Diceros bicornis minor: one gene and its partners. The protein of the gene in region 2 binds, or shares a complex with, the protein of the main gene of each other region. Links are inferred from orthologs where the notes say so. Each region holds a gene or a part of one and is shown on either strand. Other genes may lie near its edges. The genes, in order: DKK1, LRP6 and SOST.

Evidence for each region.
Region 1: the proteins of LRP6 (region 2) and DKK1 are in contact, whole or in part, in a crystal structure (PDB 3S8V), measured with the Homo sapiens proteins. The link is inferred for Diceros bicornis minor from reciprocal best matches to the Homo sapiens genes LRP6 and DKK1. Residues at the interface, in NP_001401174.1 of Homo sapiens: Arg639, Glu663, Ser665, Ile681, Tyr706, Glu708, Thr724, Arg751, Trp767, Gly768, Gly769, Pro771, Val790, Gly791, Arg792, Asp811, Thr812, Asn813, Leu814, Pro833, His834, Phe836, Trp850, Ser851, Tyr875, Met877, Arg1184; in NP_036374.1 of Homo sapiens: Glu185, His204, Phe205, Trp206, Ile209, Gln218, Val219, Thr221, Arg224, Arg225, Ser228, Gly230, Leu231, Glu232, Ile233, Phe234, Arg236, Ser258, Leu260.
Region 3: the proteins of LRP6 (region 2) and SOST are in contact, whole or in part, in a crystal structure (PDB 6L6R), measured with the Homo sapiens proteins. The link is inferred for Diceros bicornis minor from reciprocal best matches to the Homo sapiens genes LRP6 and SOST. Residues at the interface, in NP_001401174.1 of Homo sapiens: Arg28, Asp52, Val70, Ser71, Glu73, Leu95, Ser96, Asp98, Glu115, Arg141, Trp157, Trp183, Asn185, Ala201, His226, Phe228, Trp242, Met269, Arg336, His361, Asp379, His404, Asp406, Thr422, Glu447, Arg449, Trp465, Trp491, Asn493, His534; in NP_079513.1 of Homo sapiens: Leu115, Pro116, Asn117, Ala118, Ile119, Gly120, Arg121, Arg169, Thr171, Arg172, His174, Asn175, Gln176, Ser177.

Annotation. Positions count from the first base shown.
Region 1 is NC_080745.1:51,554,755-51,562,702, forward strand, and holds the start of DKK1 (dickkopf-related protein 1), read right to left. Parts: upstream 3,148-7,948; 5' UTR 3,024-3,147; coding exon 2,778-3,023; intron 2,535-2,777; coding exon 2,372-2,534; intron 1,291-2,371; coding exon 1,147-1,290; intron 1,018-1,146; coding exon 764-1,017; 3' UTR 1-763. UniProt on the Homo sapiens protein: Antagonizes canonical Wnt signaling by inhibiting LRP5/6 interaction with Wnt and by forming a ternary complex with the transmembrane protein KREMEN that promotes internalization of LRP5/6.
Region 2 is NC_080756.1:48,574,337-48,581,991, reverse strand, and holds the start of LRP6 (low-density lipoprotein receptor-related protein 6), read right to left. Parts: upstream 3,264-7,655; 5' UTR 3,095-3,263; coding exon 3,040-3,094; intron 1-3,039. UniProt on the Homo sapiens protein: Component of the Wnt-Fzd-LRP5-LRP6 complex that triggers beta-catenin signaling through inducing aggregation of receptor-ligand complexes into ribosome-sized signalosomes.
Region 3 is NC_080757.1:42,474,127-42,482,445, forward strand, and holds the start of SOST (sclerostin), read right to left. Parts: upstream 3,306-8,319; 5' UTR 3,170-3,305; coding exon 2,950-3,169; intron 185-2,949; coding exon 1-184. UniProt on the Homo sapiens protein: Negative regulator of bone growth that acts through inhibition of Wnt signaling and bone formation.

The DNA of each region.
Region 1 (7,948 bases), on a different chromosome or scaffold from region 2:
ATACACCACGATCATTTGAGTTTGTCAATGGAGAACACGTTTTTCTTTAAAATGACTCTAGAGTTGATTAACATTGTCTTATATTTAGACATCTTTCTCTGATCATCTTTAAACACGTCACATTTCTGTCCCTATAGACCACACACACACACGCCTCTCAGATCACAATGCTAAAATTTAAACTTGTAACATTTCATAGTATTAAATGTTAAATTTTATTTCAAGGGCTATCACAGCCTAGAGATAAATATAATCTAAGCACTGAGATAGTACATTTCAGAAAATAAGCTAATATTTTCATGATAAATTTTAGATACCTATCATTTGTCATTCCAAAAGCTCCTTGCATTCTAGATTCTAGAAGTAAAAGGGGAAAGGGTTATGCACTTAAGAAGTATAAGCTGAAATTATTTATTTCAATTCAATATAGAATATTTGTGTCAAGATAACAATGTGTACAAAAATTTACATAACAAGAGGAACAATAGACAATGCAGCACCTGTAGAAAAATAATTAAAAGTTTTGTTGCATTTACAGGTAAGTGCCACACTGAGACTTTACAACACAGTAATTTACTGCAATCAGTGACGAGGAGTTCCATAAAGAAACAAAGCTCTTACACTCCAGATTTTCGGAAGGTATTGGAATGCTTAACTGTAACCACAGAATTTGTACATCCTTAAGGACTGAGCTGACAAAGTCACAAAAGGTTTTCATAGCCTATATTATATAAAAGGAGTCCACTGTGTTCAGACAGCTGGCTTAGTGTCTCTGACAGGTGTGAAGCCTAGAAGAATTACTGGCTTGATGGTGATCTTTCTGTATCCGGCAAGACAGACCTTCTCCGCAGTAACAACGCTGGAATATCTCCAGCCCATGGGAGCCTTTTCTCCTGTGCTTGGTGCACACTTGACCTTCTTTGAGGACGGGTTTACAGATCTTGGACCAGAAGTGTCTAGCACAGCACAACCCTGTGGCACAGTCTGATGATCGGAGACAGACAGAACCTTCTTGTCCTAGGAAGGAGGAGACAAAATGAAAAGTATGTGGTCACTGCTAAGCCTGCATTATTTCATTAAGATAATCCGATGGACACTTCTGATGTGCTAACAAAGAAGAATGAGTCTTAAGGTCCTCCAACCTACCTTTGGTATGATACATTTTTGAAGACAGTGTAGTTCTTCTGGCATACCCATCCAAGGTGCTGTGATCATTACCAAAGCTTTCAATAATGGTTTCCTCGATTTCCCCTCGATGGAAATGATTGTGATCAGAAGGCATACATATTCCTAAGGAAGCAGGAGAGAGTGATTAATTTCTAAGCTGTAATGTGTTACTACCTCCAGCTGTAACAGTGGCAGTCTGGTATGCCTGCACTAACTTGATACCTCATTGCAGTGACATTTTAAGCACAAGCCAAACTTCCTCCCTAGTGTTCATGCAAAACTCCCCAGATGGACAGAAGCATCAGTGTGTACACTGTTCAGTCATATGCGACATCCCATATATAGCCATTTAAAATACTTTCCTACCAACTGTGGTAGTGGCAGTGAGATTTCTGCCCATTTTAATATGACCCTTGGGGTAAGAAAATCAGTCACTTAAAAAATTGTTTTTAAAAATAACTTCTCTGCCCTTGGTGCTATATAGGTACCGCCAGACTAAGTTAAGCAAAAGCAACACCAGCTGCCTGGAAGATTACAATCTCACCCACCAGTTACTTTACTGTATAATTTCTATATTACAGAGATTTAGTTCATCCTGGAGTATTACTGGATCCTAAGGAGGGTCGCCACCCTTAAGTTTATTTCTGGAGACTTCTTGGGCTGAGTCTACCTCTTTGAGACATTGAATTTTAGTGGATCTATGGTGGGAGGGGAAGAGGAGTACTTATTTTAAGGTAGCAGGAGGTGGAGGAAGGGGTAAGGATGGAGAGGCCAAGATGCGAAGCTATCAAGATCTTCCCTAAGGAATGGCCAGCACAGATAAATCATTCTGTTGCAAATGGAAAAGGCAGCTAAACGCCAGAGCTGGTTTCCTTGCTCTCTGTATAATTCCACCTCCCTTCCTCCCCACCTTCTTTCTCAATCCGTGTCAAGACTCCTCAAATTTTTTATGGAAGGGTCCACTCAGAGGTAAGCCGTCGTGTTAAATAATTGAGGGACACAGAGGAAGATAAAGAGCTCCAAGACTTCCGTACTTCTCTCTCCTCCCAGATTAATCACTCGCCATGAAGATATTTCAGGGGAACCTCGCATTCTGAACACCCGTTTGCAGGTGGCGCCACAGCTTCCCAGAGAGCGTTTTCTCCCATCGGTAGGCGCGCAGAAACCGGACAGTTTGAGTCAGAAAGGGAGCGACCGGACTCACCATTTTTGCAGAAGTTCCCAGGGCAGCACATAGCGTGACGCATGCAGCGTTTTCGGCGCTTCCTGCAGGCGAGGCAGATTTGCGCGCTGGCGCCGGCTCCGCGGGTGGGACTCGCGCAGTACTCGTCGGTGCTGCACTCCTCGTCCTCGGCGCACGGGTATGGCTGCGGGAAGGGGGCCGGGAGAGGGTGAGGCATCTGGGCATCCAGGTGCCCACACTCCTGGGTCTCGACGCTCATCACATTTTCTTTCTGCCCACCTGTCCAAAAGCTGTTGCTGCCCACTGCTCCCAAATGCAGTTTCCAAATGCGCCCTGAACCGCACACACTCAGCACGTTCTACGCCTTCTCCCCAAAAGAGACCCTTTTAGGGTCACAGCTTCCCCAGATCCCTGAGACCCTTCTCACCTGGTAGTTGTCAATAGTCTGGTACTTGTTCCCGCCCTCGTACAGAATTCCCGGAGCTGCGCTGACTGCAGAGCCTGGGTGCCCGGCAGCGCCGCCCAGCGGTGGGGGCAGGTTCTTGATGGCGTTGGAATTGACGAGAACCGAGTTCAAGGTGGCGCTAACTCGGAGCAGAGGGTGGCCGCAAAGAGCCGCAGCTACCAGGGTGACCAAGACCCGGGCAACTCCCGCTGCGCCCAGAGCCGTCATCTCAGGAGGACTCGAGAGAGAGAGAGAAAGAGAAAGGAGGGATGTCACTTTGCAAGCCTGGTCCCACCAAGCGGTGCTGCAGAGTCAGGCTTCTGACAGCCTCCAGAGGTCCCAGAGTTCTAACTGCCTGGTGCACAGAGCTCTGCGCCGCCACCGCCACCGCGGCTGCCTTTATACTTGCGGGCTCGGAGCATTCCAGCCCCTCGGGGGGAGACAACAAAGGCGGGATGGGATTTCAAAGCGTTGGGAGGGGCTGGGAGGGGGTGTGTTTGTGTACATGAGGGGGAGCCTTTGACACTCTTCAGCCCACCCCTCCTTTGCGCAGTCGCTCCCCTGGCCCAGCTCACCTTCGGGGTGACCGTAATCAGTGCCCATCAGATCAGACGACTTTTAATAAACACAGGAGAAGGGAGGAACTTCGGGAACTCGGGTGCCCTTGCCTTGCAGTAGGGTCGGATTATCGGGACCTGAAACATTTTTCAGAGGAATTGTGACAGTCTCTGCAAAACCCCTTTTCTCCTCTCTCCCTTATGCCAGTACTGGTTTATTGTGCACATAAATAATATTCAGTATTAAATACAACCCCATCAGTAATCCAAAGTCTCTATCAAAGCATCTTAGCGAGAGGGCCAGGTGGCCGGTGCAAGTTGCTGATTAACCCTTTAGAGTCACGGTTGGTTTGCAGATTTGGGGTGAGGTCTTTGGCTTTAAGTTGGTTCAATTCCTCCCTCTTCCTTCCTCCACCCCCCCCCACCCCTGCCACCGAGAGAAAAATGTGCAAAGAGAAGGAAATTTGCACATCAAACGAGGGTAAGAAGGAAGAAGAACTAATTCTCTTTTGATGGGAAGTTTAGAGAGGGAGGCGAGAGACTGGCGTTTGGAAATGAGATCAGGGGTGGAGGGAAGAGGGAAATGACCATCCGATAATCAAACTATTTAATGTTGTTCTTTGACTCTGAGCAGTCGCGGCAGTAGATGAACTTGATTAGGCAGACGCGCGAGATCAAAGTGGCCAGAGCGAGAGCGGACAGGGTCCAGCGGCCGGGTCAGTCGTCTTTCCCCGGTGCCCCCTTCTCAGTGGTGGGTTAACGCAGGGAGATAAGAAACCCTTGAGGCTTAGCGCCCGACTTCCTCATTAGTATTTCATATCGCAAAGCTTGAGAATGCCTGTGTTTGATCCCAAGTCAGACCATTCCCCGACCGGGGAATATCCCCTCTAGGGAGATAAGAGACTAGCTGCTCGAAAAGGGAAGCTGAAAGTGAATTTGACATCATTTAAATGAGTGTATGAAAATAATGTTAGGCTAGTGCATAAGAATGCTGTCCTGCTTATAAATTGGAAATAATTTATTTTTTCAACAAAAACATATTGGAAGCCTAGTGTCCTGACATTGGGCTTCCCTCCTGGTTGTTGCTTTTTGGGGGGGGGGGGAGGGCAGGGGGGCGCAGTGGATACATATATTTAAGAGACTTTATTCTAATTATAGTAATAATAAAAGATAAGAAGTGTACACAATTCTTTTTAAAACAGGTTGACGTTATAAACTAATGGACAACTGCTATTCGAGGTTAGAAAAGAGATGAATAATCACTGTTGAATAAAAAAGACTAGGATATATTTATTTCATGCTCCCTAACCTCCAGGGTATTTACAATTACTCTACACACTGACCTACTATATTCATGCCTGGTACCACCAAGTATACCCAGTGACAGTACTGAAATGGTATAATCCGAATGTTAAGAGGGGGAGGAGTAATTTCAAAAAATTTTGTAATGGTCTGTATTCTGGTTCTTTGGGTTTCAGAGATCATATTAAGAACATCTTCTAAACAATTCTTTAATAATGCCTCTAATTACACTGGTATCCATCCCATCCCAAATTCCATTTATCTTGTGAAATTTCCTCCGGCTTATTGATAATTCCTGCTTGAAACTGTAACACGGATTAAATCTTACATATTTCTTTAGGTTTTATTATGAACATGTACAATGATCTAGACTTGGCTATTATTCTAGAAATTTTTGGAACAAATTGAAATTTGGAAGCAAAGAAGAGGTTGTTTATATTGGCTTTTAAGTAATGAGGCTAAGAAATGTCGATATACTTTTTATTGAGAATGAGCAATGAGTCAGGTCTCCCTTGGGCAGATATGGCCCTACTCTCAGTCGACTTGAAGTTTATATAGACCGAGAAGATTATAGGATGAAAGGGTAAAGGCATCGGGGATTTGAGATGCCATATTATCACTTGCAGAATATTGATAACAATGTCAATAACCAATGTGCTGAGCACCTTCAGTATGGTAGAAAATCTCCAGTCTGTCTTAAATTCTTACGATGTTGCAATGTGGAGAAAGAATACCCTGTCCTTGGCAAGGGTGAAAATATTTCTTCCTAGTCCCATTATCCTATTTAAATATGTCTAAAAATATGCTTGTGCCACAATAAAGGCCAATCTCTTTTCTTCTTTTCGTAAGAGATGGTACATGTTAGTACATTTAATGAATTTCATTCATTAAGAGCTTGGATTCACAAATGAAACCATTGTCTAGGGGCAAAAAAACGTGGAACAATTTAATCAGCAAAAGGAAAATTTTAACAAAGATATGTTGCATAAATTCAATCTTGATCCCTGAAGCCATGTGTCTGTTATGATTTCATATTCATTGAGCTTGGACAGAATCTGTTGTGTTGAGTTAGGGGAGCTAAGCCAAGAGTAATTGTACCCCTGGGATTACATGAGTGGATTGGGTTCTACCTCCTTCCCCACTTTCCGTGTTGCTCCTGAAATTGTCATGTTTTGAAAGCTAATAATGAATTGGTCAACATCTGGGTTCCTACTATGCGCTAAGCATGGTACTTGGCGCTGTGGGATGAAAGATGAGTTCTCATATTGCCTATCTTCAAATAATTGAGTAGGTGGAGGGTAGGTAAACTTTGAAATTATACAAAAGAGAAATTATGTGGGAGGGCCTTAGAGAGAGCTGTGTATTCAGCAAGCTAATTCTTTGTTCCAAATGGAAAATTTACTATTTCAATGGAGTCTCCATTTGAAAATCCTTTCCATGATTGAGTTTGCTCACTGGCAACAAAAGAGCCGGGTGGGTAAGGAGGTAAAATGAAGTTCATTGTTACATCAGCAGCCAATTAAAATTCAGTGAATGCCCATTATATGCAAAATGCTACCCTGGTACCTTTGGGAGTATACCCTCAAAATATTAAAGGCAGGCTCCTTGTCCTCAGAGAGCTTTCAGTCTATGAGAAGTTGGGGAAACAAATATATTTACTTGGGAATGGAGGTACAAATGGTTCCAAAATAGATTATATTTTGGCACATACTAGGTCATGAGAAAGATAGAAAAATGTCCAGGAATTGTGATCAACAAGCCTCAGGGAAGAGAGGGTTCTGATGACTCTCTCCTACAGCTAGGTGACAGGTGGTGGGAGTCAGATCAGGTGTATTTAGTTTATTAAACCTAGTTTATTTAGTTCTGTAGGGAACCCTGCCTCCTATTTGATCTGGTTTAAATATGACCATAATTAATGCAATAAGTTTAATATTTTGTATTAAATTGTAAAATAGGTGAACATGTTTATCAATGTGGAATCAAGCCTCATAACTCAGGAATGGTATGATCCTTGTGCCTTCCTCTCATTTTAAGTGTCATATGCCCAGCATAGAATACTCAACCTCTTCATCCGTGAGGAAGACAGACGGACAGACAAATATACTCCAAAAAACACGATGCTATTTGCAAACTATTTTTCCATCTTTGTTATTTGAGATTCTTATGTGACTGCTGCATTTTTACTTCACCCTCTTCCTTCCTCTCTTCTTTCCTCCTTCCCTTGCTTCTCTCCTTCTTTCATTCTTTCTCTTTGCTAAATCAAAGGAAGCAGATCTGTTGCCATTTAATTTTACTTGACTAGGAAAACACTGAAAAAATGTCATTCCTTATGGTGAGTGTTGCCAACGTTTTTGTTGGCACTGGTCTTGAATTTATAGTAGAGATTTCTCATTCCTGAGTTTAGTAAAAAATGTTATGAGTTTCTCACTGGCCTTTAAAAGATTTTGGTCTTAATGCTCTTTATGATGTTAAAAGAGCTTTTAGACCAGGCCCCTGTTAGGACTCCTGAGAGGCTGGATTAGGCTTTTCTGCACTCAGTACAAAGAGAAGGCGAGATTTGACAATGATTATGTTTATTTGGTCAGTGGAGATGGCCAGCCCAGATAAATCAGGCTCCATGGCAGCTTTCTAACCCAGCTTAGAAGATGTGTTTTACAGGAGCCAGACATCAAAAACTAATCTGAGAATAGAGCCCAGAACCAGAAACTTTTGACTAAAATCGAGAGAGGACTTCCTGATGTCCTGACACTCAGACAGGTCTGTGGTATATAGTTACAGGGAGTGCAAAATGGTCCCCTTAACATCCCCCTAGAGGATTTGACATTTCCAACCATGAAGACTGGCCCACGACAGCAGAAAGCAGGATGCAAGATCCTTTTGAAACAGGCTCCAAACCTAGAGAAAAATCGTTTTCTTCCATGTCACTGGGTTCCTATTATTACCTCCTTTATAATGCAGGCACTCTCCAAAGGTCGTGGCCAAGAAAGGTATCTGCCAAGATGGCAGGAGTCTGGGGCTGGAACTTGGTGCACTGGGACTTTTACTGTGACAGCCACCAGCTGGCTGGCAAAAAGGGGACATTGGTCAGGCCATTTAGCTCTCAGAGTTGGTCTTTCATTTCTAAAATGGCATGAGAGGGAGGTGGAGAGGTCCTTTCTGACTATAACCCTCCCCCCTTTATTTTAAGCACTGCCTGGACAAGGCCTTTTGTATTCTGATTAAAGTAAGAGCATCCTACAAGAGGCCCCTTCTTTCAGGCAGCCTAAGGATAAAGTAATGATCACTGACATCAAT
Region 2 (7,655 bases):
TAGAGCAGGGATCCTGTCTATTTTGCTCACCACTATATCATCAGAGCCTGATATATTAGTAGGTATTCCATACATATTTGCTAAAAGAATGAACAATAAGTCCCTGCTCTACCATTAATTAGCTGTAGGATCTTGATCAAGTAATAATCTCTAAACCTGAGTTTCCCTACTTGCAAATGAAGCGGTTAGACCAGAATGATCAAGATCTCTTCTACCTTAAGAATTTGTGAATCTTATACAAATTAGTTTCAAATTCCCAGCATTTGAGAATATGCCCACAGTCAAAAATTATAACAGAAAATAACATCTGCAAAGCACTTTACATTCATTACTTCATTTAATATGCCAAATAAACCGGCAAATTAGTCAGATAGGTATTACCCACATTTTACAGGAAAACAAATTGAGGCCCAGAGAAATTAACTGACAAGACCAGAAACACAAAATTATTGAGTAATGAAGCTTGGACTTTATACCCAAGATTTTAGTTTTGAAATCCCCAAATCTTTCCAATGCAACTTGTCCTCCGATGACAGGGACAGGGAGGCAGCCCAGATGATGACAGCATTATTCCCCGGCTTTCAGCTATTGATTTAACAGGGGTATAGGACAAAACGTCTCCCAAATTCTCATCACCCCATCTTCCCAATGTTAAAGCTCCAACTCTTCTGTGAGGAAAAATCTTTTTTTTTTTTTTTTGTGAGGAAGATCAGCCCTGAGCTAACATCTGCCAATCCTCCTCTTTTTGCTGAGGAAGACTGGCCCTGGGCTAACATCCGTGCCCATCTTCCTCCACTTTATGTGGGACACCGCCACAGCATGGCCTGACAAGCGGTGCGTCGGTGCTCGCCCGGGATCCCAACCCAGGCCACCAGCAGCGGAGTGCGTGCACTTAACCGCTAAGCCACGGGGCCGGCCCAGTGAGGAAAAATCTTAATGCAACAAATTAATCACCTATTTCTCCTTGGAATCCAAAGTTAACTAATATAATTATTATAACAGAGGATGGTGACATTATCAAGGAGTGAAAAGAATCTAAATTATGAATAAAAAGCTTTCACATCAAGATAGTTGAAGTTCAAATAACATGTACACACAGTTAAGTACTGCTAAATTCAAAGACCACCTGATACCATTATTACGCTACATTTAAAATGAGAGCTCCACTTTTGGAAACTTTGTTTGCTAGTGTAAATGAGGCAATTTAAACTATTAGCTCTTTTAGGTCTTGTTACATAAAACCACACTTCAACACGTTACTTCAAGTGCAACTTCTCTCAACTCCAGCAATGAAAAAAACCCGACTCTAGGCTCAGACTTGGTGTTAAAATAAATAAATAGCATTTACATCACTCCCTTCCTCTCCAAGAAATACAACTGGGTAACCAGAAACATCCCGGGTTATGGGTTTAGAGTTCTCCAAGATTCTAACCAATCAGCTGACTCTCATATTTCTTAACTCTACTAACCTTCTGTCTTAAAATATATACTTATTCTTATGTCAAATATAATTGTTTCTCACAGCTATAGCAAAATTCCCTCTCAACAGGGAGTATACTATAATAAACATATACTTATTAAACCTCTAAGTTCATAACACTGCATTAAATTCTCTGTCAAGACAATTAAATGATCACTATATTTCTGGGATTTACATATGTAAATAGTTCATAATAGGCTTACCGTGAGTCCTAATTATTAAGTAGATATAACATGCAAACGTAATAATTCCGCAGAAGAGTACAGAAAAAAGTTCCTCCAAAAAAAAAAAAAGTCAATCTCTCCCATCCAAAATAAATATATACACACAGAAACGGCATGTGTCATTTATTGCACAGGATCATTGGTTACTATCGTGTTCTGCAAACTTCAGTAAGTTTTGGAGGCTTAACAAACGTTTAGCTTGTTAAATTAATAGCTAAAATCTTCATAGACTCAAGGGGTCCCATACCTGAAAAGAACTGACCATGAGGACAAGTGAGAACTGTAACAAAACCAAAGCTACAAGCCACTGCATCCATCAGTACTTAAATTCCTCTGCTGGTAAACGCTCAACAGCATCAGACTCATCACCACTTCAACACTGATAAGTTTGAGAGCTGCCGAAATCTTGCAGACCAGTCAAAAACCTTGGTGAACTGTCACAAAATAAAAGTCAGAACGTATGTGACAGCTTTGCAGGCCAATTCCAAAAACCACCAGACCATCGAATTTATGCGATTCTCGGAGCAAATTATCCAGAATAGCCTGTGTTATTTACCAAAGTGCCAAGCAGTCCCCAGGGGAGCGCAGCAAATGATAACTTAGGTCCCAGGACAGGCTCCTCTTCACACATGGATAACTTTCCTACTTAGTGCCAACTGTACACTTGCACGCTCCGAAAATAGGGGCAGGTCCTGCACATCAGGGGTAACAAGGGCAACGTTTCTATTTTATTATGGGCTGAGGCTCCCAAGAGTCCCAAGGCTGAAACGCTCGACCTATATAACCTCGGAGTCACTTTCCAACTGTGCCCTCACCCAGGATCATTATATCCCCCACGGAAGCCAATTATTAGTTGTTACACGGCCTGGAAAAATAGGAAGAGGGCTCTCAAAGTTCACATAAGAGACACGGGAAAGGTGGGGGCTTCGAGAGGGAAGGCCAACGTTAAAGCATCTTGGGCTCGAACATGTTAAAAGCCAAAATACATACAAAGACCCTTCTCCTTGCGGACTCCAGGCAGAAGGGGACACGCAGACCCTCAGTCATTCCGAGAGAAAGGGGCTCCAGGGGGTCACCAAGCCAGGCAGCCCGGATCGAGGCTCCGATCTGTCCAGATAAGGTCGGGAAACCTAGGCGGGGGTCTGCATGGTGGCCCGGCGGGGCGCACAGCCCCTTCTCCCGGGCCCCCTTCTCGCTCCTTCCCCACCACCAGGCCTCTCCTCTCTCCTCTTCCCCTTCTCCTTCCTCCGTCCCTCCCCTCCCCCCAGACACACACCAGGCCACCTCCCCCCCAAATCCCACCAACTTTCCCGTCCCCCTCCCCGTTCTTCCCACCTCTCAGGAGCACACAGAAACTGCAGGCCAGGAGGCTCCTCAGGACGGCCCCCATCTTCCCTTCTCGCGTTCTCTCCTCTCACCGGCGAGGGGCGGCCAGACCAGGGGGAGGCAAGGAGCCGGGGCGGCCGCCGCAGCGGCAGGTCTGCATGCTCATGCTTCCCAGCTTTCCAGAGAGAGAAGAAAGAAAGGGGCACGTCAAGGCTCCGCGCGCGCCGCCGCCGCCGCCGCCCTCTCTAGCGCGCCGCTCTGCCCGGGGCTCGCGCGACGCCAGCGTCTGCTCCCATCCCGCCGCCTCCTCCCCTGGCGCCCCGCTTCCCCCGCGCAGCTCCTCATTCAGCCTCTTCCTCTCACGCAGCGGCGCAGGGATACGGCCGGCCGCCGCCGCCGCCAAAGTCTCCCTGCGCGCGGACGAGCCCCCTCCCTCGGCGCCGCCTCCCGTGCGGTTATGAAAAGAAGTGGGGGCCGCGCGCACGGCCTCTGCTTGGCGACCCCGGGAGATCTGCCGGGCGAGCAGAAGCGAGCTGGAGGCGCAAGACTGCCAGGCGGCGCATTCCAATGGGATTCTTTCCCGAGCCGGCCGCTTCGGCCCTCCCCGCGGAGGGCGTGAAGCGACGTCGAGCAACACTGGAGACGGCGTGGTCGGGACTTCTTTCTGCGGCTCGGCCGGGCCGCCGCCTGTTCTGTTCTTTGTGCGGCCGGCGCCTGCAGAGCCAGGTGCAGCTCTTGGTCCACGCCGGCTGCCACCTGGGCCGGAGGAAGGGGTGGCGGGCCCGGGGCCGCGGAGCTGCAGGTCCACGCTCCCGGAGCCCCGCGGATCCCGACACGGGGTGAAGAGCTCGATCTTCAGGGTTGGAAATTGGTGTAAGCATCTTTTTTCTTTTTGCAAGGAAAATAAAAACTAATGCTGCTTGCACCAGCTTTAAACGTGGATCTAGTGAACGGTGTTCAAACGCCAACTCAAACTGAGATTTGTATTTTCTCCTGGCTTCCCAGAACTGCAGAGTGCCCCCAGAATTAAGTCCGACAAGAACTAACGATTTCTAAACCGGTGGATAAAATTCCAAAATAAATGCGTCAACACCTAAGACAGAGCAAAGGGACAATTGATCAGGACTGTATTTGGGATTTTACAAGTTGCTTTGAATGATGACTGTTTGGCATGTTTTGATGATCAGTTCCCAGCTTGAGAAGGAAAGGATTCCCCAGAATGTCAGACTCTGATTTTGCACAGCCTCTGCTATTCTCCGTGCACAGGGCGTTCAGGAGTAACGGCCCAGACGGCCCCTGCAATCACGTGGCAGCTTCAGTCTAGGAGGGCACTCCACCGCCAGTTGACCGTAATGGAGCCATCAGGTGCATTCTGCCCAGCTGTCACACGCCCTTACCTGGGGGCAGATGGGCGAGGAGGTGGAGCTACTCCCGCAATGTTACCAAAATCTCAGAGACATTGGAGTTCACCAAGTGCTTGCACACACGTTATAAGATTTGAACTCAAAACTCCCCTGGAGTAAGGCGGATTTTGTTATTTATCATTCTCACTGCACAGAGAAGGAAAATGAGAACCTGAGGCGTTCAGTGACTTACCCAAGGCCACTCAAGGAGTGAATAGCAGGACTCGAACCCAACCCAGGTCTTCCCATTACGGACACTCTGCTCCTTCCAACAAAGGCACCCTGAACCAAGGGGATGCCTGTGTGTCATCAGACAGCCAAATCACTTTCCCCTAAATTCACCAGCGAAAGGCTAACCGCCACTGATTTAAATTATCTTCTTCCAAGAGTCGCGTCAGGACTCTGCAAGTTTTGTATTCTAGTCTCCTCAGAACCAATAACTGAGAGCCAGGTTTTTCAACAGTAGCCTAGGGAATGTATTATGGTGAAGCTAGTGAGGCTGCGGAGACACCATGATGCGGCAGGGAAGGCATGAGCTTTGGAATGAGGGTTAGTATCCAGACCCTCCCAGTTACTAGATGTGTCATTCAGACATATTTACATACACTGCACCTCAGTTTTCTCCTCTATATAATGGGGATAATACCTCCTTCAGGCTTGTGGTAGATATTAAATTAAATATCTATAAACTGCTCAATATATAATAGGTGCTCGATAAATGATCATTCCCTTTCTCAGCTCCTTCAAGGGGAATGGTATCATAGTAACTTGGAATCCTTGGGAAATAATGGAAGAGAGAGGACAATTCCATGCTCGAGATGTTTATTCCAGGATTATTTATAATTGGAGGTAGAGAACTGTGAAGCTAATGAAAATTAACCCTCAGGACCCCTCACTTTCACAGTTCTCTTCCAAAGCCCAGGGAGGAGCCCCAACAATGTGTTCACATGGTCCTATTTGCAAAAGTAAGATAATTTTGTGTGCTTTTTCTGAAAACATTCCTCAAAATTATGTAAATTTCAAGTCCCACGAAACCTGGATCTGTTCCTATTTATCGTAGAAAACTCGTTTACAACTTAAGTCTCTTTAGGCTGTCAACCTAAGTAGGGTAATGAAGTATTATATTCCAACAATGTTGGAAAATGTTTACAATTAGTTAAGCTTAAAAAGATGAACGTGCATGTACATTTTAACTTCAGCTATGTAAAATATGAATGCATATACATGTGTAACATAAACACATATATAATCACATATTTGAGCAAAGACCAAAAGTAAATGTGCTAAAACAGGGATTAAGATGGTGAAATAATATGAGATTTACTTTATTTTTCTGTTCTTAAATTTCCTTTAGTGTATTTTTTACAATTTTTAAGGTACTTAAGTGAAAATCTATAGCTTAAGCTTAAGCCCTAGCGAAGATGCTGTTCTTACTACCTAATTTGTTTTCGTATTCATTCAAGAGCCTATTAAAAATACTCAGTGCCTGTCACTATGTTAAGTGCTGGGGATGCAGAGATGAGATTAATCATAGTCCCTACCCTCAAGAAACTTACAACCTGTTTTGGAAACGCTAATTATTACAACAAATAATTAAAATGTTAAAATTGCTATAGTGCAAGTTTGTACCATATCAACAACAAACTCAAGTGCAGAAGCACTTAAGTCTGCCTGAACAATTTAAAGAAGAGAAAATAAACTTGGAGCTGAGTCTTGAAATATAAATCGGAGTTCATCAGGCCAAGAAGACTGACAAGGAATTCCAAGCAGAAGGATAGCAGGTGCAAAGGCACTGAATTATTAGAGAGCTTGGCATGTTGGGGATTTGAAAGGAGATCCATGTAGCTGAAGCATAGGGTGCTTTTAGACAGTGTCAGGAAATGAGGCAAGACCGTAAGTAGGTATTGGATAATAAAGAGCTTTTTAATTCATGCTAAGAAGTTTAGATTTTAGCCTGTTGATGATGTAGACACTGAAGGATTTTTCTTACGGTGGAGAATTGATTTGCATGTTAAATAATTTCTCTGGTAACAGTGTAGATAATAGAAGGGAGGAAGGCAAAAAGTAGGAAGACCAGTGAGGAAGTTATTTTTAGTATGAAAGCGAGGGTCAGGACAGCAGCACTGGGCGTTGAAAAGAGATGATGGATTTCAGGACTATGAGATGAAAACAGCAGGACTTGGTAACCTATCAGTGAATTGAGAGAGAGAATAGTCTAGGATGAATTTCCAGGTTTCCAAGTTATGCGCGGCAGTGAATGAGAGTCTCATTTTCTAAGAAAAGAAATGCATAAGGAGTATTTCAAGATGGGGTGTTGATAAGTTGAACAATGGGTCTTTTATATTGGCAGTGTCTGTAAAATATCCAGCTGGAGATGTCCAGTAGACAGTTTTGATATAGAAGTTTGGACTCAGGAGAGGAAAGGAAAACACAGCTCTCAGCGCTGATGGTGGAGCTTGTATACCACCCAATCCACGGGACATACTGTACAATATTAAATCGTGATTGAATAGTTATTACCACAGTTTTGTGGACAATGACAGTCAGACGTCTTCAGGAAGGGAAACTCTTTTCTAATTCAGGTGAATTCACCCTTGAGCCACCTCATTGGTGGCTGGAGGGTAGAGATTATAGTTGAAACCATAAACTTACCTAAGGAGAGAATAGAGCATTTAGCGTGACTAGAAAAGTGAGCCAGGGCAGAACCATGTGATATACAAGTATCTAGGAATAAATAGAAGAAGAGAAGCTACAGAAAGAGACCAAAAGAGGCAAGTGTAAAACTGGTTGAAAGTGTTGCCTTGAGAGAAGGTGTGTCAATAATGGCAAATACAGTAGACAGCAGAGAAGTCTGCTAATAGAAGCACTGAAAAGAGGCCGTTGTGACCTATAACTTCCCAAAACGTCATTGAGGGGACCATACGTTATGCCAACATTTTAGGAAAGCAATCTAGGAGTAAAATATACACACTTTTTACACTAGAATCCCACTTCTTGGAATTTATCCACAGAAACAAAAGTTTATAGAGATATGCATACATAGATATTTATTATAACATAGTAATAGAAAACAAACAAAACAAAAAGGAAGCCTATAAAAATGGCAGTTTTATATGGTTCGACCTAATCAAAAGAACCTGAATGCATTTCAATTGTTAAATAAATAATGGTATACCCTTATGTGGCATACTGTACAGCTGTTAAAAAGAATTATATATATTG
Region 3 (8,319 bases), on a different chromosome or scaffold from region 2:
ATGCAGCGGAAGTCGGGCCCGCTCGGGCGCCACCACTTGCCGCGGCCGATGGCGTTGGGCAGCAGGCGCGCCGGGCCGCACTGGCCCGAGCACACCAGCTCGGTGACCGGCTTGGCGCTGCGGCACGGCCCGTCGGTCACGTAGCGGGTGAAGTGCAGCTCGCGGCAGCTGTACTCGGACGCGTCTGCGGAGAGAGGCGCGCGTGAGGGCGACGGCCAGGCCCAGCCCCCGATCCCCGCCCGGCCAGGCTCCCTCCACGCCACTCCCGCGTTTTCCAAACCTGCCTCTCTCCAGACGCTCTTGCCCCTGGGAGTTATTATGGGAAGGGCCCAGGGACTCTGGGGCTGGTGGAAAGCCCCACCCTGACCCTGACCCACCCTCTCCCCCTAATTCTTTGGAGCCAGTGACTGCTGTGGTTCAAACACCAACTCCATCACTGCGTGATCTTGGGCAAGTTACTTAACCTCTCTGTGCTTCCTATCTGTAAAATGGGTTGTCTTGAGTATTCAGTGAGTTAACCCATTACATAGATAATGCAGGGGACGCCACTAGGCGCGTGGTAAGAACTGAAAGTGTTGGCTATTGTTATGTGTTGTTATTATTCGTCTCTAAGGGGGCCCTCTTCACCAGACTGAAGTCACACCTGTGCCACAGGGTCCCTAGCCATGGAGGGTAGGTGGTAGCCACACCCTCTGCATGGCTCTGGCTTCTCCCAAATTTCTTTTCCAGCCACTTGGGAGGGGTGGAGAGGGGATGGAGACAGGAGTAGGGGTTAATTGGAGGTAATAAGTCAGGGCAGCTGCTGGGAGGAGAGGGCTGGAAGGGGAGGTGGAGAGAAGTCTTTCGACTTGAAAGGAACCAAAGGCAGCCTGTCAGACCCCCTCATTATCACTGAGGACACTGAGGCCCAGAGAGGGAGAAGGGCTGGCTCAAACGGCAGACCTGGGTCTCCTGACTCCACTTCCCTGGCGCCCCGGAACCTCTCAGCTCCCACAAGGGTGGAAGCTGTGTGCCTGATCACCCATGGGAGGCTAGGCTGGGGGAGGGGCGAAGGGCTGCTTTTTACTACAGTTACTTCCCTACCAGAGGAGGACCAAGCTTGGACTGAAAACCTACAGTTTCGGCTGCCACAAACATTAAGCACTTGCTGTGTACCAGGCACTCTGCTGGGCCATTTGATGGACAGGCTTGCTCCCTGGGTCCGGGGAGATTGGGCTCTGAGGCCTGGCTTGGTCCCCCCAAGACATCTTGATCATGTTTCCTACTGTGGGCTTAGTCTGCTGGGAGCCTTTTAAAGAGCTGGTCCTCATGTGAGCGCCTGTCTACCCCCAAGGGTCTCATGGGGACAGTTACCATGTGACACGAAGGGGTGAAAATAGTCCTAAGAGCAAAACCAGAGAGGGGGCAGAGAAGGCCAGGCCCCCACCCCCAGGCGCTGGAGGACAAGCACAGCAGGGGAGTTGTGGGGTTTGCCTTCCTTCCCTGGCTGGCCTTCTGGTTTCTGGGCTAGTTTGGCATCCTCACCCCTGCTCCCAGGCTGTGGTGTGTGGGAGTGACCTGTTTGCCCAGGGAAGGAGGCAGTTTGGGTCTTTCCAAGAATAGTGACCCTAGGTCAGGTGCTTCCTCTGCAGAGGGTGACTTTGTTTTGAGCACGTGGCTTCATTGGGGCTTGTGCCTCTCATGGGAGCCCAGGGAGGTGGATGTCTTGTACTTGAGTCCCCTACAGCCCACTGCTGGAGCTTGGTGAACTTGCCTGGGGGAGAGCGGGGGAGGGGCCTCCTGCTCTCCCGTTTTGAAGACCTGAGGTCCTCCAGCCTCTCTGGGGTTGCCCTTTGCAGAGCCCCACATTCCCAGGTGGTCGTGAGGCGGGGAGGGATGGGATGCAGGAGCCTGGGCAGTGGACTCCTCTCCCACCTGGACAATGGCCAGAGGGCAGTGAGGCCCTCACTCTGAAGTGTCATTCCAGTCCCTGCCCCCAGCCATTCCTGCCAGCTGCAGAGCCAGCTGTGCACACTGCCTCCCAGGCTCCTGTGTGCAGACCTGAGCAGGAACCCAGCTGTGCCCTCCACCGGGGCCACTGCCTTTTCACTAGGGCCAGGCTCCCTCCCCAGGAATGAGGCAAGGCTGGGTCTGGGTTGGGGACTCAGGACAGACAATGCCACCTGTGTCCACTCCCTGCACAGAGGATGCTGCCTCTTCTCCAGGCCCTGGACCCAGCTGCCACCTAGGTCAGAGGCTAAAACTGTGCCTACAACCCCCGTTCCTTCAAGTGCCGGCTCACTGGGCAGACCGTGGGCAGGGGGGCCAACGGGGAGCCTTTCTGGCGTCCCTTTCCCACTTCTCTGCGAGGATTTGCTCTGGCTCTTGGTCCCCAACACCCCCACACAATCCCCCCACCAGAGTTGTCTTGGAATTGGCTCAAATTGGGTTCAAATCTCAGCTCTTCTACTCACTACCAAGTTAGTCTCTGGAGCCTCGGTTTCTTCACCTCAAACTGGGAGTTCCCCTCATGGGGCTCCCACACTGTGGGTCTCTGGGGACAGGACAGGCACGGCGGCGTAGTGTCTGGCTTCCAGCAGGTGCTCAGATGACAGGCTCCCTTGCCTTGTCCCCTCCCCAGTGGTGCCAGCAGCTGGACCTGTACTCCTCTATTCTCAGGAGGGGATTCTTTGAAACCTTTTTTCAGAGCCCCTGAGCCTGTCCCAGTGCTGTACCCTCACCACCTGAGCCTCCTTGCTGCCCCGGGCTCTCACTGCCAGCCTCCTGCCAGCCTCACGCCCCTGCACTCCAGTTCCAAGGCTACACTGGCATGCCATCCTTCCCCTGCCTCCAGGCAAGACTGTCCCTCCACCGGTGCTGGCAGTGGCTGACAGTCTACCCCAGTCTTCAAAACCTCCCACAGAGAACCCACCAGGACCCATGTGCTACAGAGTCTCTCCTCCCCCGTACCTTTGGTCTCAAAGGGGTGGTGGGGAGGCCTCCCTCCGTTCTCCGCCCGGTTCATGGTCTTGTTGTTCTCTGGCTCTGGGGGAGGCTCGGGGTACTCGCCCAGCTCAGGGATGATTTCCGTGGCATCGTTCTTGAAGGCCTGCCACCCCTGGCCCTCCACCACGTGGAAGGCTGCGTGGACCAGCAGGCAGACGAGACACAGGGCGAAAGAGAGCTGCATGGTGCCAACCGTAGGAGAGCACCCAGCCTTCCAGGAGCACAGGCTCTGGTCCCCAGCCCGGACACGGTTGCCTTTTTAAAGCCCCCTCTGCCTCATGCCAGCCAATGAGGACAGGCTGGGGCAGGGCTGGTCCCATGCTTCCCTCAGCCCAGGGGGAGGGAACAGGCTGTGCTCCGAGCAAGCCCTCTCCAAAGACTTCTTCTCAAGCCCAGAAAACTCCCAAATTGCTGCTGGTGCTCCCAGGTGACCCAGGGAGAGCAGGGCGTGTGGGGCAAGCCTGCCCTCCAACACCTCCCACGTGCAGGCGGCTGTGGTTTTCGGATATCAAATGAGTTCCGGCTCTTCATCTCTACCTCCCTGGGTCCCTCGGGCTTTCTCAAAACAAACTGTGGACCAGCTGAACACAGAAAACTGCAGCTCTGGGTCCTCCACAGGGCTGAGCCCAGCCAATCCCATTTCTCAGGCCAAATGCATTTGTCATCGCACCAATAAATGGCCCTAGGGGTGTATATTTGGCCCCCACAGACCCAGACAGAGGCAAAAGGATGCTTTTTAAGAAATCTCATCGGGTTAGCTCAGGGCCGGTCTTCCTCAGCAAAAAGAGGAGGATTGGCATGGATGTTAGCTCAGGGCTGATCTTCCTCACAAAAAAATAAAAAAAGAAGAAAAGAAAAGAAATCTCATTGGTCCCAACTCCATGAGGCTCAGCATTATCCTGACCAAGAAAGCCCTTCTTGACATCCTCTGGAAGGCAAGAGAGAAAACTGGGGGGGGGGGGGGGGGGGGGTCACACTGAACATGCCTGCTTGGGTGAGGGGCAGGGACTCTGGTGACAAGGCCGGGATGAGCAAGTCAGCAGGCTCTGGCGATGAGCTCGAGGAAACCTCAGCTCATGCTCCTCGGGGATCCTGCACACGGTGACAGGCACTTTATGGCCAGGACACCCTAGGGCTTGCAGGCTGATGTGCCAAAGGCAGTTATTTCCCCAGCCGGGCTGTGGGTAGGAGTGGGGAGCACAAAATCCCTTTTCTTAGCAAAAGCCAGGGCCAACATTTTTAGTGCTGAGATTTTTTTTTTTTCTTGTCTCCCAGCCCACCACAGTTTTCAAAAGCAGCTTTGAGTGCTAGATGGAAAAGCTTATTGGTGCAAGTCACGGGCTGCATTCCATGAAGCCATCGCAGGTCCAGCTAGCCACAAAGAAACGAGAAGGAATTGCTACCTCAGCCCTGGAGCAGAATGAGGGGCCTTGAAGAGGGAGAGGCACGGGGCAGGAAGGTTCACACCTGAGGTGCAGGAAAAGAAAGGAGGGCCAGCGGAAGCTTTCATCCAAAACGGATTGTTTGAGGAGCCGCGCCCACTCCTGGCCCTGAAGGGAGGCTGGGAAGAGGGCTGTGGCCTAGGTCTCCTTGGTATTTCCACTGGGCCATGAATCAGTACGCCCCACCTGCAGAGCCTCTGCCAGGCTTTTGCCACCTGCCTCGACTTGTAGGTCGCTGTGTCCATCTGCGGCCGTCTGTCCCTCCTTCTTTCCATCATCCATCACTCGACACATGAATGCAGCTGCTCTGACAGTTTTACAAGCCAGACAGAAGCCTCTGCAGGAAGGGCCCTCTCTGATACCTGCTTCCTATGTCAGTTTCCTTCAGGGCAGACGAAAACAGCTGTGGCCATTGTTGGGGGTGATCTATCTCTCCCAACAGAGCCGGTGTATTGTGAGAAGCTGGCCCTCTGTGCCCCCTCCCCTTGTCTGTGACCCTCCAGCCTCCTTTCTCCTTGCTCTGGAATGTGGACCGTTAACCCCGTCGTGGCTGCACAACTGCCTTCTGGGCCTGGACTTCAGAGAGGGCAGTTCTGACGCCTGGATTCCTTGAGCTGGCGCGATTGATGCTGGAGCCCCACCTGCTGTTGGGAGCCAGCCCATCCACATGAACCCCGCGACTGTGAGGGCCATCTTTGGAACATTTCTGCCACCTGCTGGAGAAGGAAGGAGGAGCCAGCGACCGAAGGATGGAGAGGCTCAGTATTGCTTTATTTCGTATCATTACTTTATTTGAAACTGAAGTAATGTTAAGAGAAAAAAGAGAAGAATCCAATGGACTTGAACCTCTAAATTATCTCCTTCTTTTTTAATTATTCTCTGCCAATGTATAGCCATGCTTTTTACAGAAGGGCTCAGAGAGAACATGCTATGATACCATCTGCTTTTTCACTTAACGCTAATTCAGCTTTCTATTTACTCAGTCCACAAGCTTGTCGTTGTTCAGAGCTAGACACTATTCCCCAGGGTTAAACCCCCAGGGTTTTAGCAGACTTCTGTTGTAGGTAGTTTAGGTTTTAGCATTTCCAATGCTCCCTTATCCTCAGTAGGGATGCTATGAACATCCTTGTACAAAGTAATTTTTTGAATTAAACTTTTTGTTTTGGGATCTTTGTAAATTTGCATACACTTGTAAGAAATAATACAGAGAAAATTCCGTATACCCTTTACCCAGTTTCTCTCAAGTAACATCTTGCAAAACTATAGGACAATATCACAGCCAGGATCTGGACATGGATACAATCCCCCAATCAAATTGAGAGTACCATTTTAGCTGTACTCGTGTGTGTGTGTGTTTAGTTCTATACAACTTTATCACATGTGTGGGGTCAAGTGTCCACCATCACGGCCAAGATGAAGAACAACTTGTGATCAAAAAGATCCCTCTCGTGGTCCTTTTATACCCACACCCACCCTCCCCAAGCCCTCCCTCTTCACCCCTAACCCATGGTACCACTAACCTGTTTTCCATTTCTATAATTTTGTCATTTTGAAAATGTTATATAAATGGAATCAACCAGTACGTAAGCTTTGAGAATTGGCTTTCCTCACTCATAATTCTCTGGAGATTCATCCAAGTTTTGCATGTATCAACAATTTGTTGCTTTTTATTGCTGAGTAGTATTCTACCAAGTAATTTTTTTTTAACTTTAGGGTTATTTCCGGAAGCAAATGCTGGGTCTGAGAGGGTGAATGATTTTGCTACATATTGCAGGGTTGTTCTCCAGAAAACCCAGTCATTTCCTCAGTCCCACCAGCGACATACAAGTGGGCACGTGCATTAGCTTGTGAGGGCTGCTGAAACAGATACCACAAACTTGGGGCTTAAACAACAGAAATGTATTGTCTCACAGTTCGGGAGGCTGGAAGTCTGAGATCAGAGTGTTGGCAGGGTTGGTTCCTTCTGAGGGCTGTGAGGAAGAGTCTGTTTTGTGCGTCTCCCCTAGCCTCTGATGGTTTGCTGGCATCCTTGGCATTCCTGAGCTTGTAGAAGCTTCACCTCGATCTCTGTCTTCATGTTCACATGAGTTCTCCCGGTGTGCGTCTGTGTCCTCATTCCCCCTTTTTATAAGGATGTCGGTCACAGTGGATTAGGGCCCACCCTAATGACCTCATCTTAACTAATTACATCTACAAGGACCCTACTTCCAAATAAGGTCCCATTCTGAGGTACCAGGGCTTAGGATTCAACATATGACTTGTGGAGGGACACAATTCCATCCATAACAGCATGTTTCTCCACAAAGCTGCCAACACACCGGGTTTGAGCTGTTAACATTTTTTAAATTGAATTTAGTAATTTAATAGTTGTACCTTAACTCCTAGTGAAGTTGTTTTTCTGTGTGATTATTTACTGGCTTCTACCAAGCTGCCTATCCACTTGCCAAACATTTAATGAAGCAAGGCCTCCCACCAGGCTTCCAGGAGCTCCTGTACCAGAGAAGTAATAAGTTCTCCACCCAAATAACTCCAATAGCACGTAGAAAGTGATTGGTACCACTAAGAAATGGTTCAGATGTGTTTTTTTAAAAGGACAAAGTGTTCTGGGCCTTAGGAGGAGAGAATAATTTCTTCCTTGCTGAGGTGGACTTGGCATCCTCACGGGAAGACGTAGCATTTGGACCAGACTTTGAAGGACAGGCCAAATTTGGCAAGTAAGTTATGCTCCTTGGACCTCTTAGGATCACAGAATCTTTGATCTGAAAGGAACCTCAAATGTCACCTAGTTTCACTGTCTACTTGGTTCTCAAGCTCCCTGACTCTAATTCATGGAAACTGAGGATTCTCCTTATTGGCTCCATTTTTAAACAGATTTTGCTTCCACAGGTCAGTGGTAAAAATGGAGTCTCTGGGGGCCGGCCCCATGGCCTACTGGTTAAGTTCAGTGCGCTCTGTTTCGGCGGCTGGGGTTCAGATCCTGAGCACGGACCTACACCACTCATTGACGGCCATGCTGTGGCAGCAACCCACATACAAAATAGAGGAAGATTGGCACAGATGTTAGCTAGGGCAGATCTTCCTCAAGCAGAAAAACAACAACAAAAAATGGAGTCTCTGACTTTGGAGAGCAATTTCTGCAGGTCATTTCCTGCATTGAGGGAGGTCCACGTCACCCTGTCTCTATTCAAGCTGAGAACTTGTTCTCTGTAGAGTTCGGGGTCTCAGCACAGGGGAAACGCCCTCCTTGTTCATTCAGCAGCTTCCGAGGGACAAGGGGGAGAGGAGCTCCAACGAGCTTTGTCACTCACCCTCCTGCCTAGAATAGGCGAATGGCTCCCCCGGCCCTAACAGGATAACCTTCCACTTCCTTCTGCCTGGCAGACCATGCCCTTCAAGGTGGGGCCCTGACTCATCCCCAGCACCTCCCCAACTGCCATTCAATTCAAACTACCACCCTCTGCCTGCAGAGCCCCTGTCTGCAAACTCTTGTTAAAGAACAAGGTATTTATGATGCTTGTTAAAAATGGTAAAGAAAACTTTATTCAAGGGAGTACTGTGGTGAGAGGTATAGGGCCACTGCAATGGGCTCTTGCAGTGGGGGAGAGAGATTGGGCTCCACGCCGAATACGAGGTAAAGTGGGGTCTATAGCCAAGGAGCAGGGAGGGGGGCAGTGAATGAAAAATTACTAAGAGGAAGTATTAGGGGTAAGGGTGATTTTGGCTACCCCAACCTAAGAGGATTCTTGGTGAAGGCAGGCCAGGGTGGTCAGACTTCACCTGGGGGGTCATGGGGGATGAGGAACCCAAATAGACATTGAGGGTGATCAGATATGGAGGGTGGAGGATTCTTACTAAAATTGAATAATACAGAGAGGAACAAGGAAACCCAAAA